Linked DNA regions of Tamandua tetradactyla. Each later gene encodes a partner of the first gene's protein in a complex. Links are inferred from orthologs where the notes say so. Each region holds a gene or a part of one and is shown on either strand. Other genes may lie near its edges.

Evidence for each region. Proteins that work in one complex are often made in the same cells at the same time.
Region 2: TIMM50 (region 1) and TIMM17B share a complex: the UniProt entries of both Homo sapiens proteins name them as parts of the TIM23 complex. The link is inferred for Tamandua tetradactyla from reciprocal best matches to the Homo sapiens genes TIMM50 and TIMM17B.

Annotation. Positions count from the first base shown.
Region 1 is NC_135342.1:24,503,437-24,510,855, forward strand, and holds the start of TIMM50 (mitochondrial import inner membrane translocase subunit TIM50), read right to left. Parts: upstream 3,027-7,419; 5' UTR 2,996-3,026; coding exon 2,888-2,995; intron 2,795-2,887; exon of another isoform or gene 2,631-2,794; intron 2,495-2,630; exon of another isoform or gene 2,433-2,494; intron 1,975-2,432; coding exon 1,824-1,974; intron 1,301-1,823; coding exon 1,269-1,300; intron 1,055-1,268; coding exon 1,033-1,054; intron 31-1,032; coding exon 1-30. Other genes in the region: SUPT5H (transcription elongation factor SPT5), read right to left, coding at 4,674-4,817, 4,894-4,989. UniProt on the Homo sapiens protein: Essential component of the TIM23 complex, a complex that mediates the translocation of transit peptide-containing proteins across the mitochondrial inner membrane. Has some phosphatase activity in vitro; however such activity may not be relevant in vivo.
Region 2 is NC_135353.1:121,254,988-121,262,220, forward strand, and holds the start of TIMM17B (mitochondrial import inner membrane translocase subunit Tim17-B), read left to right. Parts: upstream 1-4,208; 5' UTR 4,209-4,317; coding exon 4,318-4,343; intron 4,344-4,448; exon of another isoform or gene 4,449-4,563; intron 4,564-5,238; coding exon 5,239-5,338; intron 5,339-7,069; coding exon 7,070-7,133; intron 7,134-7,233. Other genes in the region: SLC35A2 (UDP-galactose translocator), read left to right, coding at 205-232; PQBP1 (polyglutamine-binding protein 1), read right to left, coding at 638-794, 960-1,023, 1,235-1,498, 1,618-1,730, 1,928-2,039, 3,513-3,595, 3,728-3,831. UniProt on the Homo sapiens protein: Essential component of the TIM23 complex, a complex that mediates the translocation of transit peptide-containing proteins across the mitochondrial inner membrane.

The DNA.
Region 1 (7,419 bases):
TCCGGCGCAACTGCTGTACCAGGACTGGATCTAGGAGAACACCAGGGCGCAAAGGAATTCTGAGATGAGCCCTGTTTAATCTCCCGGACAAATGAGGGGTTTATTTATCTACCAGATACAAACCTGTCTATCTGCCTACCTGGTTTGAAACAGCCCGTTTCTAGGTCCAAAGGCAGATGGCAATACAATGACATGACTGCCAGGTAGAATTATATTTATTCACTTGCCCAATTTTAACCTGATTATTTACACCACATGCTATCCCAAGTATAAAACAGAATGCGTATTTGCTCACTTAAGACCAATATACATATACCTGTCCATTCTGAACCACCATGCTCCCAGATCTAGCAACTTTAAGCCAATATACCACAACTAGTTAAACCAGAATGAACATATACACAGATCTACATACTTTAAACCCATTCTCAACCAGAAGCAATTTTGTATATTTACCCCCTGCCCACTCTAAAAACAATCAATATATCAACATGTCAGTTTACAAACATCCCCAGCACACACAGGCAGCTTTCTGGACCTACCAATTTTATTCTTCTTCTAGGAAGGACCAGGTGTAATAGGAATTGACAACTACTCTCTACTATCCAGTTTCTCTGTCAGAAATTCCCACCAAAAACTGGTTAACCAGAAGGGGAAGGAGGAAGGAGGTACTATTTTGGAAATGAGGAGCCGAAGGGTAGGGGACTGCAAGAAAAAGAAGAGGCTATCCTAAAAGAGGAGCTGGCTAGGGACTGCAGATGCTCAGCTAAGGCACAGGAAACCATGTGTCTGGCTGCCCTGAACCCCCCACATCCCCTCCCCCTCTGTCCCTCACCATCTGCTCCTGGACTAAGGGGCCAGGTCAGGGGACAAGGGCTTTGTAATGCCCCTCCCCACAAACCATCCAGCTGCTGACTCCCCCACCCCTAATGAAAGGAGGAGGGGCTGGTGGGGGGCACCACATGGAGGGTTACATCACAGCAAACAACAGAGTTGGGAGGGTCAGGGGACCCCAGAGTCTTGTTTCCTCACCATTGTCAAATTCATCGGGAATCTGGAAGGTAGAAAGAAAAATGCGGAGGTTGGAATGGCGAAGACACAACATCACACCCAGGAAAGAAACCTCCAGGCCTCTGAGAGGAATAGGCAAAAGTCTCTGGGGAGAAAAGGCTTACCCCAAATAAGAAATGAACCTGACCAGACCAAAGAGGACCACCCTCACACCTAAGGGGCTCCAGGTAGGACATCTGTGACTCTTCCCCCCTCACCTTGGCACCAGTTTCATCCACGGAGTTGTTTCCTGCAAGGCAAACAGGGCGAATGAGAGGAATTGGGGCCTGGACTCCTAGGTCCTGAGGGAGGAGTGGGAAGGGGGCCTGGATTTCTGGGTTTTGAGAAGAGGACTGGGAGCTTGGACTCCTGGGTCTGAGGGAAGAGGACAAGAAGCATAATCTCCTGGGTTCATGAGAGGAGGGGGCTGGGAACCTGGATTCCTGGCTCTCTGAGGAAGAAGGAGCAAAGGGAAGGGCTAGTCCTGAGGGAAGAGGCTTAGTAGGCTGGTCAATATCTATCCTTCCCTATCTTCCCCTCTTCTGACTGGTACCCTACAACTTGCTGAAGAAACCAACTAGAAGTAGAAACTTGAGTACAGGAGTTAGAAAGAAGGAGACTTCTTCATTTCAAGGTAGGTATCCTAGTTGCCTGTCTTACTGAAGAAGGAGCCAATGAAAGACAGTGAAACTCTTGAGGGGTAAGGGGGGCAATTAGGAGGTGGAATGGGAAGCCAACAAGACAAAACTGGGGGACACAGGTGTGTCTCTCACCGAAAATATAGACCACGCTCACAGTCCCACCAGCTCCAAGAAGTCCAGCAAGCCAGAGAGCGACTTTCTTGGCATAGCTGGGACCCTCTGAGCCTTGCTGCTGCTGTGGCCCCTGAGCCTGGGTATTCCCACGACTGCCAATCTCCACGACCTGCAGTGAGAGGGAGCAGAAAGATGATGAGAGAAGAGGAATAAGGCCGGGGTGGTTGGGGCACCCATGTCCCTGAAAAGAATCAGGGTGGGGAGCCAGGAAGCAGACACATGCTTCATAGCCCCTGAGCAGCCTATTGCTTGAGAAGCAGTTGGGAGGGGCCAGGAGGATCAAGAACTAGGCTGTCAGGAGTCTGGATCCCAGGAGTTCAAGAGAGGGCAGGCCCGGTACACAGGGTCCTGGAGACGACAGCACTGGAGGATGTAGACCACCAAAATCCGGAGCACGGAAGAAAACACATCAGGGAGCTGGAAAAATGGGATGGAGGGCACACAGGGAATGTGACAGCAAGTATGACTTTGGGAAGCCTGGTGCTTGTGGTACCAGGACATAGAGGAGATGGGATGGGAGACAGGGAAGATATGGATAAAAGATTAGAAACAGGGCAATCCGCTTGCCTCGGGCTTAGAAGTAGTAGGGCACAGAAGTTACAGGCCTGGAGGTCAGAATGGCCGGCTCTCTGTCGATATAGAAGCAAGTCGAATCGGGAGCCCGAACTGCTATCGCCCCTCTCCAACACCAACGGGGAGAAAATAATCACCCCCAAAGCCGGCCTGAGACCCTAGCGTCACGGGTCCCTTCCCCTCAAGCGTTACCTGAACGCACTCAGAGATGGGGAACAGCCGACCCCCTCCTCCGGCGCTCACGTGGGTGGGAGGTGGGGGTCCTGACGACGCACTAGGGCCCCAACATCCCGACCGAGAGAACAAGCGCTGTCCTCCCCGGGAGGTAGGGAAGCGCTCCAGAATGCCAGCGGCAACGGCAGCATTCCAGAAGCCCCGGGCAGCGGCATTCCGTCCGGAGTCCCGGAGAAGGGCGCCCGCACGCGGGGCGCCACCCTCATCCCACTCACCTGGTCCGGGGCCCTGGGAGGCGGCGTCGCCAGCCTCGTGCACAGACCCCGCGCGCCTTGCCGGAGACAGCTCCACGAACGAGAGAACAGGGCCGTCGAGGCCGCCATCTTGCGCTGACGTCACGCGGTCCCACCCACTCACTCCCTTTCCACCCGCCCCGTGTCGGGATCGTGGCCAATGAGTGCGCAGGGGAGGGGCAGGTGGACGGGAGCCCGAGAGAGCCAAAGGGTTGCGGGCGAACTGCCGGAGGCGACTCACCTCTGGGCATTTTGGTGGCTGCACCCGGGCGCGCCAACTAAGATACAAGGTCACCCGGGCGCTGAGTCCCCCTCGGGCGGTAGGGCATTCCGCCGCCCCAGCAAAAGGACCTGGCGGGGACAGGGAACACACCTATTACTCACAGGTAAAGTTGATGCCGTAAGAAGCCATCGGCCAAGGTTATCCATATCCGAGTCTCGTTGTTCATCTCGCCATTTGTGATTTGCCTTCACCTCCCGATAGTCAGAAATAGAAAACTAAGGACTAGAAAGTGGGATAAGCAGCCAGTGTTTCAGACTCCTTCCCTCACATGGAACTGGGAGACAGGAATCTTATCCTCTATTGTTCGCAGGGCCCCTCTTGCCTTACTGCCGTGAGTTTCTTGTAACGTGTCTGAAATTTTCAGAGCCATCCATTTATTTCATCTGGGGCTCAGCCACAGGAGCAGTGATCTGTGTGGCTGGGTCAGGGTTATTGAGAGAAGTTGGAATCATCAGTGAAACAGGCTACAGTAGCCCCACACGAATCTTCCTCAAATTATTGAGTAAAAAAAAGGTTTGATACCAAACTTTATAAAGTTACCATAGAACATTTAAGGGTATAAAATAAAGTAGCAAATGTGTAAGTGAGACAAAAGAAAGATAGGTGGAACTCCAAACTGTGATCACCTCTGGAGGGGAGGAGAATGGATTGGGGTTACTGCTAAAGAGTCCTATCTGGCACATATTGTTTCTTAAACTGGGTGGTGGGACATGGGTGTTCACGTATCTTTATGAACATCTGAAATGTTCTGTAATACATTTTTTAAAAGACATGTGAACATCAAATAAGGAAACTGAAGGAGTTTCAGGGTACTAAACCCCATTTTCTATACTGCCTCTCTACTCCACCCCCAGTCATCAACAAGCTACAGCAATCTGGTGTTCCTGCTATCAGAGCTGAAGAGAGAAAGGATCATCATATGCTGTAGCCTGCAGCACTGGAGGAATAAGGAAGTTTCCTGGGGATACTGACTGCGATTTTTGCATATTGTGATAACCCATGCCTGAGTAAGATGTAATTTCATCAATCATGTGGCAGAATCTAACAATCCCTTTCTGGATGTTTTCTCATACATCCTTCTAACAGCCTTCTGGGGTAGACACTAACGTTTTCCAGATGGGGAAACTGAGGCTTAGGAAGGCCCCAAAATCATTTGTCTAAGACCACACAGCAAGGAAGTAAGAGTGGAGTTGCAAATGACCACACTTACAAACCAGACACACAAACACAGGACTTTTGACCAAACAGCTCTTTTTATTGAAAGACATAACACAAAAAGCAAGCTGACAGTGAGGGAGATAAAGGAAGGTGGGGACCCTCTGCCAGACTCTACTCTGATTCCCACTTAACACCAGAAAGGAAGGACATGAGAAAATAAAGGAAATCTAGAATGACCAGTCTAGCCCTGCTCCAGGCCTAGGGCCAGGAAAGGAGGGACACTCTTCACCTGCCAGGTATCTGCCAACAACCACGACTCTGCCTGCCTTAGGCCTCCAGGAGCTTCCCCAGGAAGCGGAGGTTGAGGATCTTCAGCTGCTCATCAAGGTCCATGCGGACAATACCATCCTCACCATCGATGCTCAGCAGGACACCTGTGGCTTCCCGATCTTCACCCAGGATCACCTTCACCTGGGGATGGGGGCATAGGGTCAGGGTCCCATATCTGCAGCCCTCCAGTTCCTCTTTCCCCACCCAATGCCCTTACCTTGTTGTTCTTGGTGGGTGTGATGGGCTCCAGGTGCTCACTAGAGATGCTAACGACCTTCTCACTGTCCTTCAGGTACACAGAGCACATGCCTCCCTGGGGGTGGGAACCACCTGGTCAGCCTGGAATGCTCCCAACACAGGGTCGTGCACAGGGCTGACACCCACACTCCAGGAGAGACAAGCTTCTCATGCTGAGAAGTCAAATCACTTTCCCAAGGTGACAAACAGCAGGAAAGGGCAAGGCTGGGCCTTATTCCAGGCCTGAGACCAGTGGTATATGGCAATGAGGTGGGGAGGGGTAACTGGATCAGGAAGGGAAGGACCATGGTAAAGCCAGTTAGAATCAAAGAAACTGCTTCCCAGGCACTTGACCTTTCATATCTCACACTGGCCTCAGCATTTCCCACCCCACCCCAACCGCTTCTCTTCCTGGGCTCAGTCTCAGGGACAACCCCACAGTCCCCAGTCAGAGGCTGGACCTCATCTTGGTCACTTCCCTAAAAAGTAACCAAAAAGTCTTAAGTTCTGAGGCCTATCCAGTCAGCTTCCTGAGGGTCCCTCCCCATCCCATGGCCTGCATGGTGCTCCTAGCCCCCATCCTTATTACTCCCAATCCATCCCAACACAACATAGAGGATTCATTCCAAACCACAGCTCTGATAATACCACTTCCCTAATTAAATTCCCCCAATAATTTCCCAGTGACCTCAGGACAGAGTCCAGGCTCCCTAAGCTGACATATGACCTGGCCCTAGCCACTGATCTGGCCTCTCTTACCATCTCCCTTGGCTCTTTATGTTCCAGCCACAGTGATCATACTAGAGCTCCCCAAATGTGCTTGGCTTCCCTTCACTTCCAGGCTTTGACACATGTGTATCTCTCTACCTGGAACATATTTAATCTCTTTCCCCAGCCTTACTTCCTGGCTTACTCACTCAGTATTTAGGCCTCAGGTCAGATGTCGCCTCCTTCAGGAAGCCTTCCTACATTCCCACCAAAGCAGGGTGACTTGCCTTCTCTGGGTTTCCAACAATTCTCCTTGTCCCTGGGCTTCCCCATCCCAGCTTTGACCACTCTGGGTTGTCATTATCTAGTGACATGTGTCTCCCTCACTGAACTGTTAAAATCAGTAAGGGCAGGGCCTGAGGCTGTGGGCTCTGCTATTAATTCAATTAATATTAACTGGAAACCCAATGAGGTGCCAGGCCTTTATCTAGGAACTGGGGGTATCTACTTAGGAATAAAATACAGGTTTACTAATCAAAGAACCACGCCAAGCATACACTTTGTCTACATGTGGCAGACAACATGAACTATGTGGCCTTATGAGAGCCTGTAAGAAGCAAACCTGACACAGCCTATGATGTACTTCCCTAACAGGTGAGTAGGAGTTAACTAGGCAAAGAATGGAAGAAAGAGGGGTCTACACAGAGAAGAGACTGTGCAAAGGCCCCAAGGCTGGAACAGGAAGAGCCTGGGGATGTAGATGCCCAACCCTGGTACAAAGGAGGCACGTGGTCGGTGTCACTGAATTGATCTCTCAAAGGAATATGTCAAAAAGTAACCATGGCTGTATGACTCCATTATTGTGATTCTGATAAAGCTGCCAGTGTTTTAGAGCAGCTAGAAGGGAAAATCTGAGTTGAGGGCATGGTAGCCCACGCAAACTCTGGGAACTGTTCTATTGCTGCTTGCTGAAGTGTGCTTTAAAAAGTATTGCTTTTTTCCTTTCCTTTCTTTGTGTGTGTATACATATATATGTTATATTTTACAACTAAAAAAGGTTAAAAAAAAAAAAAACACCTACAGGCCGTTATAGTAATATTAGGTAAAATAAATTCCTGAAGTCAAAAATTTAAAAATACTTAGTAACATAATGCACTACTATGGCAAAGTTGGTATTTGTAATAACTTTTTACTTGATATTTTGAGAATGCACACAGTTTTGTTAATCAAGTGGTAGTTAAGATGCTGTTTTATATTCAGAATTCAAGTAACTGATATCTGTATTTACAGATTTTTTTCCTTCCTTGCTTAATTTTAAATTGGTTTATGAAACATAGTGTATAAAGAGGCTTTATGATGATTACTTAAATATTTTTTTAATATGCCTATGGATAAGCTAACTTAGATATCCATTTTAGGTGGTTAAGATTTCCATATGTTAACTGTAAAAATATTTGTATCTTCCATATTTTCCTGAAATCTGGAAAATATTTATTAACAGATCATTACTATAGCAATACAGATATTTGTAAGAACTTTCTACTTGATATTTTGAGAACATTCACAGTTTTGACAGCTAATCAAATGGTATCTAAGTTAGTGTTTACTAAGAATTTAAGAACTGCTATCTGACTATGTAGATTTTTTTCCTGTTGCCTTAATTTTAAATTGCTTTATGAAACTTAACGTGCAAACAAAGGCTTTACAATGATTATACGGATACTTTATTTAAATATGCCTACAGTTAAGCTAACTAAGATACCCACTGTTGATTGTTCTAAGTGTACTGCTTGTTTCT
Region 2 (7,233 bases), on another chromosome or scaffold:
ATATCTAATGCCAAATAAAGACGTTGTATTTATTTAGTCCACGTGCAGCTTCCTGACCCGGGGGACCCGCGCTCTCTGCATAGGCACTATTACTAACCCCAGGGGTGCCAGCACCACCTCTGTTGCCCTCGCTTGCTCAGGAAACCCACCTGCCAGCCCACCCCAGCTTTCTGTGTTTCTTTTTCCTTCCCGTTCCCACCACAGGTTGCTCAGCAAGGTGAAGGGTTCGTAGCTGCTGGGATTGAAGACGTTGGCCTGGCCTCGTTCTCCCTTCTTGCCCTGGTCCAGCTGGGACCAAACTGATCAGTATTGGGGGTGGGGTGAGATAGACATCGAACTCCCCTTCCTCACCACCCTTCGCTTCCACGTAGGGCTGACACGACTAACTTTTCTTTGATATTGAGGGCATGGACAGGACCCACCTCAGCCTCCAGCCCCTGCCACCCCCATGCTCTTTCTTAGGTGAGTTTTTGCAAATAAAATGTGTTCTCCATTTTGCTGGCTTGGGTTGAGAAACCTCAAAACAGAGAGAGAGAGAGAGAAAGAGAGAGAGGGAAGGAAGCACTCAGGTCTCACGGGCATGATCAACAGAAGCTTTTATTAAAAATCCCAGGGCTGGGGCTGGGAGGGTGAAGCTTCAGTCTTGCTGCTTGGTTCGGGAGGCCTCAGCGTTGGCCCGGAGCACAGCCCCTGGGGATGGGTATGGGCGCTGCTGGAAGAGGGGCCCGGCTGCTGTTGTGTCTGCACCCGTCTTGGCCTCGTTCCGCTTGGGGAGCCCTGTTGACCATGTGCCCCTGGGGGTGATACAGGGTCAGGGGTGGGAATGTGGGATGCAATGGGTAACTCCTGTGCCCTGATTAACGAATAAGGGGAAGGTGAGAGCAGCGGGGGAAGGGATGATATCTGCTCAGGCAGTGAGTCACGAGGGAAAAGAAGGACTTTGAGAGGCTGTCACTTACCGGGGTGCGTCTGAGTACGAGCTGGGGTCCATGGGGTCTAACTCTTCATCCTTTCGGCTTGCCACTGCAGAAGTGGTACAGTGAGACCAATCCAGGCACAAGGAACCCTGATCGTTGAACCCTCCCAACCCAGGAAGAAATGGCACACCATGGGGCCGCAGCACCTTTTCCCTAGGGCCTCAGCTTCAGGCACTTGCATGAGTGAGGGCCCCCTTAAATTCTGCACCCCAGGTGCTTTGTTTGCCTCACGCTAGTCCCAGCCCTACTTGGCTTACCCTTTTTGCTTTTGGGGTATGGAGCTAGCTCCTCACGGCGATGGTGGCGACGTTCTTTGCCCTCTTCTCGGTCTGCCTTATCATACCCGCGTTCCCGATCCCGATCCCTGTCCCGCTCTCTCTCTCTATCCACTTTGTCATAGCCACGTTCTCGGTCTCTATCGGACTTGTCGTGGCCCCGGTCAGGCTTGTCGTGGCCCCGGTCCGATTTGTCATGGCCTCGGTCCGACTTGTCATGGCTCCGGTCCAACTTCTCCTCAGCATCTGGGGACAGCAGGGTCTGTCTTATTCCATCTGCTCCTACTAGATCCACTATCACTGACCTGACCCTTCTTTGACAATTGCTAAAATCACTTGAGGCACTCCTGGATCTGCCAACTCACCTGCATTACTGCTCCTGAGCTTCTTGGCAGATTTGGTCACGACGGAATTGGGGTCATGTGGGGAGAGCCAGGACACGAGGTCTGTGTCCACATTCCAGTAGTAAGGGAGCCCACTGTGGGGCAATGGGAGGGAGGGAAGGAGTGTCAGCAAAGATCCTCAACTCCTGTCTCCCCAATCTCTGCCTAGACCTGCCCCATAGGGAGGACCCCCCAAATCTCCCATATCTCCCATATACCCCAATGCCCAGGATAGCCCAGGAAGGGTGAAGTTGGAGGTCATTTCCCCTCCCTGCCAGGTCCCCAGGCTCACCAGGAAGGGTCAAACACCTTGTACCAGCTTGGTGGCAGGCCCTCCAAGCGGGTGGCCTCATAGTCTACAGGATCATCATCATAGTCCTCAGCAATGATTTCTTCCTCTGGCTCTGGCAGGACAAGGGGGAGGAGGGCAGTGGTTAAGGACCAGGGCAATTCTCATCATACAGTCAGGGCCTACAAAGACTCACAGACCCTTGTTCACACCCCTGGCCAATCATGAACCACACCTGGTAGATACATGCATGTGTGGATGTACACAAAGTATCTTGTGTATTCCAAACCCAAATACCTGAATACCAGGGGATTTACCAAAACAAACTAACAAAACTTAACCCAAATCTATTCCATTCCCATGTTCAGATAATGACATAGCAATGTGTTAGCCAAATGTATATAGATAAAATATAAACAGCAAGGGATTTATCTGAAAAAATGTGTCCATTCAGCTGCCAAACTTAATATGGGGTTTTTGAGTCCTGTGTATTAAGTATGCCAGGATAGCAAAGGGATTTATCCAAATATTGCTCCAAATCCACTTGGCTCCTAAGTGGCAAGGTGAAAATGTACTGGCACATAGTAGGCTTGTAAGAGATGTCAGTTAATATTTATAGAATTTTTTAAAAAAGGTATGTTTTATCAGCTGTGTGCCTGGCTCTCGGTCAGCTCAGAACAGATTTCAGCTATGGACATAAAACTATGGACATAACAATGAAACATACGTATGTCAGCAATAGCATATAGTGCCTGTGGTGCAGTAGGCCTCAAACAGATGTCTGCTACCATCATTAGAATTGTTAATAAGATGTATGTCATCAGCACAGGAGCTGGCACTCAGAAAGGCTTAAAAGTAAGATCCATGACCATTATCTGTATTAGTAACTATCAAGTCTGCCTGGCACGCTGCAAGCTTGTAACAGGCAGCTGAAATCAATAAAGGTGAACAATAAGATGTATTTTTTCAGTGCCTGACATACTGTAGCCCAAAGTAAATGCCAACCTTTAGCATAAACAATAAAGTGTAAATATTAGCAGCAGCACAGAAGGCCTAAATAATAGCTCCTCACTGTCATTATTTTATACTCTCAACCCTAATGTGTTTGCCAGCAGGCACTTAGTAGGCCCAAAATACATGTCAGTTCTCAATGAGGTGAATAAAGTATATACATCACCAGCAGAGTGCCTTCCCCTACAGCAGGCCTGAAATACTATCTATCAGTCTGGTAAACAACAAAGTATCAAGGTCAACGCCCTGCTGTGCCTGGCATACAGAAGCCTGCACTAGATGTCAGCCGTCCTTGTTATTAGACAGTACTTACCACCCTATGGAACCTGGCATATAGCAGGCACTAGAGAGCTATCAGCTGTCAGAACTGTTAAGGATTGCAACATCTATCTGCCCCAGTGCTCGGCAAACATAGGAATGGATGTCAGGAATCCATGTTAATGAGATGCCCCAGCTCCTGGCTCCTAGCTGCTTAGCGCACAGAAGTCCCAAGCTTGGTGTTAAGTGTCAAGCCTCAACAACAAAGTGCTTGTCAAACCCGGCACAAAGAAAGCCCATTTGCGCTTAGCTCTCTTACCCGGCTCCAGATGTTTGAGAATGCCTCTCTTGGCCAGGCGGGTCTGCAGCGCCACGGGTAGCGGCATGGCAAGTAGCACAGACCTAGGGACGACCAACAGACTGAAAACCAGCTCGATGATTCCGGATCCTGTAACCAAGCGCCTCCCTCCAGCATGGACTCATCTTGATCCCTACCTCCCGACTGGCACCAGAAACTGGGCGGGCGGAACCTACGCGCCAAAAGATGGAGGAGATAGGTGGCCACGGTCAGCCAAGCGGACACCAGCACTCCTCTCGTGGCCGGGATTGCCATCGGGTCCTCCACCCCACCCCCGCATTCCTCTCGCAGGCTTTGCCCACCACCGAAGCAACCGGCGCAGTTTCCCCGCGCTGGAGAAATGGGCTCACCCAATATCCCTCAAAGCTTGCCAGGTGGGAGGAACCAAAGTGCTGGAACGGGGGAGCAGAATGCAGCACCTCCTCCGGCTCCAAAAGAATGCGTCCACCCCAGCGTTGCCGATACAGCCTCGGGGCTAGTGGAAGGCTGTCAGACAGGCTGCCTCTCTCTCCTCGTCGCCAGGATCACCGACACCACACTGCTCTCCCCTCAAAGCACAGAATGAAAGCCTTTCTCCCTGAACCTCGAGGTAACTGGGCGACGCTCGGAGGCGGGATGAACCCACGACACAAACCTGGCAGCCAATGAGCGCTCCCTGGGCCTGACGTCGAGGGAAGTGACCCGACCCTTGTCCGAGAATAGGTGAAGAGCTCGGACTCCTGTGTGCGTTGCCACTGGGGGCGTGGCCCGGCCGGACGCCGGCGCCATGGAGGAGTACGCTCGTGAGCCCTGGTACGGCGGTGGGCACAGGCCGCGGGATCGTTGTGGCGGCGCCCTGGCCGGCCGTGGGGGGCGGGCGGGGAAGACACCAGCCGCAAGGCGCCGCGTCCCAGATTCGGGAGCGTCTTGCAAAACTTACTTCCTTTCGCTCGCCCCACCACCCACCATCACCACCTGGGTGCCTCCCACCCAGGCTCGGTTAAGACGAGGCCCACTAACGGCGCTCCTGGAGGTGCGGCACTGGGCGAACCACTCCACCTCACCTCTGACTTTGTATCTCCCAGCCCTTCCTTGTTAACGACAAAGAGACACGCTGGTCGAATCCATTCCGGCAAGGGGTGGGGGGTTACGATGTTGAGCGGCGATCCCTAGGATTACCACGCGTGGTTTTTCCCAGGTCGCTTTGTTAATGGAGGGTGGGGCCTGGGTGATCATATTGTGGGCAAAGAGGGGAATGCTGGATCCTCCCCAGCGTCTGCTCTCGGTTTTTCCCACCGGTGCTCGGTTAAAAGGGAGGGCCGGACTTGATTGGCTGTAGCCATTGTTGGAGAAGGGGTTGCAACCCCATTCTGCTTTAATAACTTATGTGGTGGTTAGGTAAAAGTGCTGTCTCTTTGCTAGTGTCAGCTCATCTAATCTTTGACAGCCATTCCCCAGTTGGCTGCGAAGGGCACGGGTCAGCAGGGCAAAGACTGCTACCCCCCCCCCACCTCTGCCTTATATCTCGCTTTAATGAGAGAAAAAGTGACAGAACTAGCTCACTATTATATGAAGTACTTCTTCCCGCTCATGAAGTTCCCATCCGGGTGCCTTGGTTCCTCCGATTTGGAAAGAGTTCGTCCATGTGACAGCGCACAGTGTAGGGTTCACCTTAATCCCTTCCCCTCCCCCCCCCTCCCGCTTGCAGCCCGTGGCGGATTGTGGATGATTGCGGCGGAGCCTTCACCATGGGTGTCATAGGCGGCGGAGTCTTCCAAGCCATCAAGGGCTTCCGCAATGCCCCCGTGGTGAGTCCTGGCCTTCTCCGGGTGGTGTGAGGGTTGGCTGCCCTATTCACAAGTGATACTATCCTGCAAACCTCTTAGAGCTGCCAGTCACATGCACTTATTCATTCTGTTGTGTGCTCATCAATTCTTGCTCCCGGATCTGGGGTCTTAGGGGGAATTGCAAACATGGCCCCTGCCCCCTCTCCAACTGGGACTCCTTCCTGGACATGCCATGCTGTCAAAACAGTCATCAACAAATCCTAAATGTGCCTGCACAGACAGACATATCTTATCTCCTACAGGCAGATTTCAGGTCTGAAATCTGCATAAAGGGAGGTGATAGGAGTTTGTCAGAGAGAGGGCAGCTTTAAAGTTGTAAAAAAATAATCCTTTTATAACAATCCTGTTTTCTTTCTCTGCCCATGCCCTTTCAGAAGCAGCTCTCATCAATTGTCATGACTTTAAATGCCATCAGTTTGCCCAGGTCTCTGATTTTCCTTTTTTCCTTTTTGCATGGGCAGGCATCGGGAATCAAACCTGGGTCTCTGGAATGGCAGGCAAGAACTCTGCCACTGTGCCACCATCACCCACCCTCTGTGATTTTTATAACTAGCCTTGTTTCTCCCGTCAACTCCAGATCCATATATCCAAATATCTACTTTACATCTAAACTCAAGAGGTCAAAATCAGAGCTCCTGCTTCTTTCCCAGAACTAATCTCATCAGTCTACCTCATCTCAGTATTCCCTCTTCCTTATAGTCTTTTAGTCCAATAACCTTCAGCCATTCTTGGCTCTTCTTTTTCCTTCACACCCCATCTTGCATCTGATGTATCAGCAAAACCTGTGTACTCAGCATCCAAGCACATATATCCCCAAGTCAACAACTCACCACTTGTACTGCCACTATCCTTGCCTGTACTGCCACTATCCTTGCCTGAGTCCCCCTGATTGCTGTAGTCTCCTCACTCATTTCCTTGTTTCTTCCTCTACCCCCTTGGAGACTCTTCTCAACACATCAGCCACGGGGGCCTTTAAAAAGGCAAATCCAATCCTTGTTCCTCCTTATAATTCAATAGCTTTCTGTTACACTTAAAATAAAACCCAAACTTCTTACCCTGCCTTACACAGTCTAACTGCCTACTTCCTATCTTCTACCACTCTTCTCCTTGCCCACTCTGCCCCACCCTTATTGGCCTCCTTATTTTTCCTCCAGCGCCCTGTGTCATGCCTGCTGCATGGCCCTGGCACTTGCTGTCACCTGAGACTTTAACTTCTCTTTCCTGTTTCGTTGCCCTAGACTCTCCTTCAGGTCTCAGCACAGATGCCCTTTCCTTAAAGAAGCCTTTCCTGCCAGTCAGCACTATTCTATCTCTTCATCCTGTTTCCTGCTTATTGCTGTCTGAAACCATCTGATCTGTCTGTATCCTTGTATCTTTAAGTTCTGTCTCTTATACTAACTAATATGTGAGTTCTAAGGGGTTAGGGACTGGGTCTGCTTCATTCACTGCTGTAGCTCTGCATATAGCCTGGCATATAGTAGGTGTTTAACAATCACTTATTGAATGAATGAATGAGAACTTCTCAAACCAGCTCTGAGTGTTCCCCAGACCCTAGTTCTTGACTGCTTCTCACAGCTCTGCCCCTCATACCCCTAATAGGTCTCCCATCTCCTTGGCCTCCCTTAAAAGCCAGAAAGCCTGTCTGCCAGCGGCCTCATCACTGTCCTGACACCCCTCCTCATTTTCCCCCAGGGAATTCAGCACCGCTTGAGAGGTAGTGCCAACGCTGTGAGGATCCGAGCTCCCCAGATTGGAGGTAAGGGGCATGGGGAGACAAAGAAGATGTGATAGTAATATCGGGGGGGGGGGGGGTGTTCCTTTAGGTCTAGACTGCACGTTGTGGGGTGGGTCCAGAT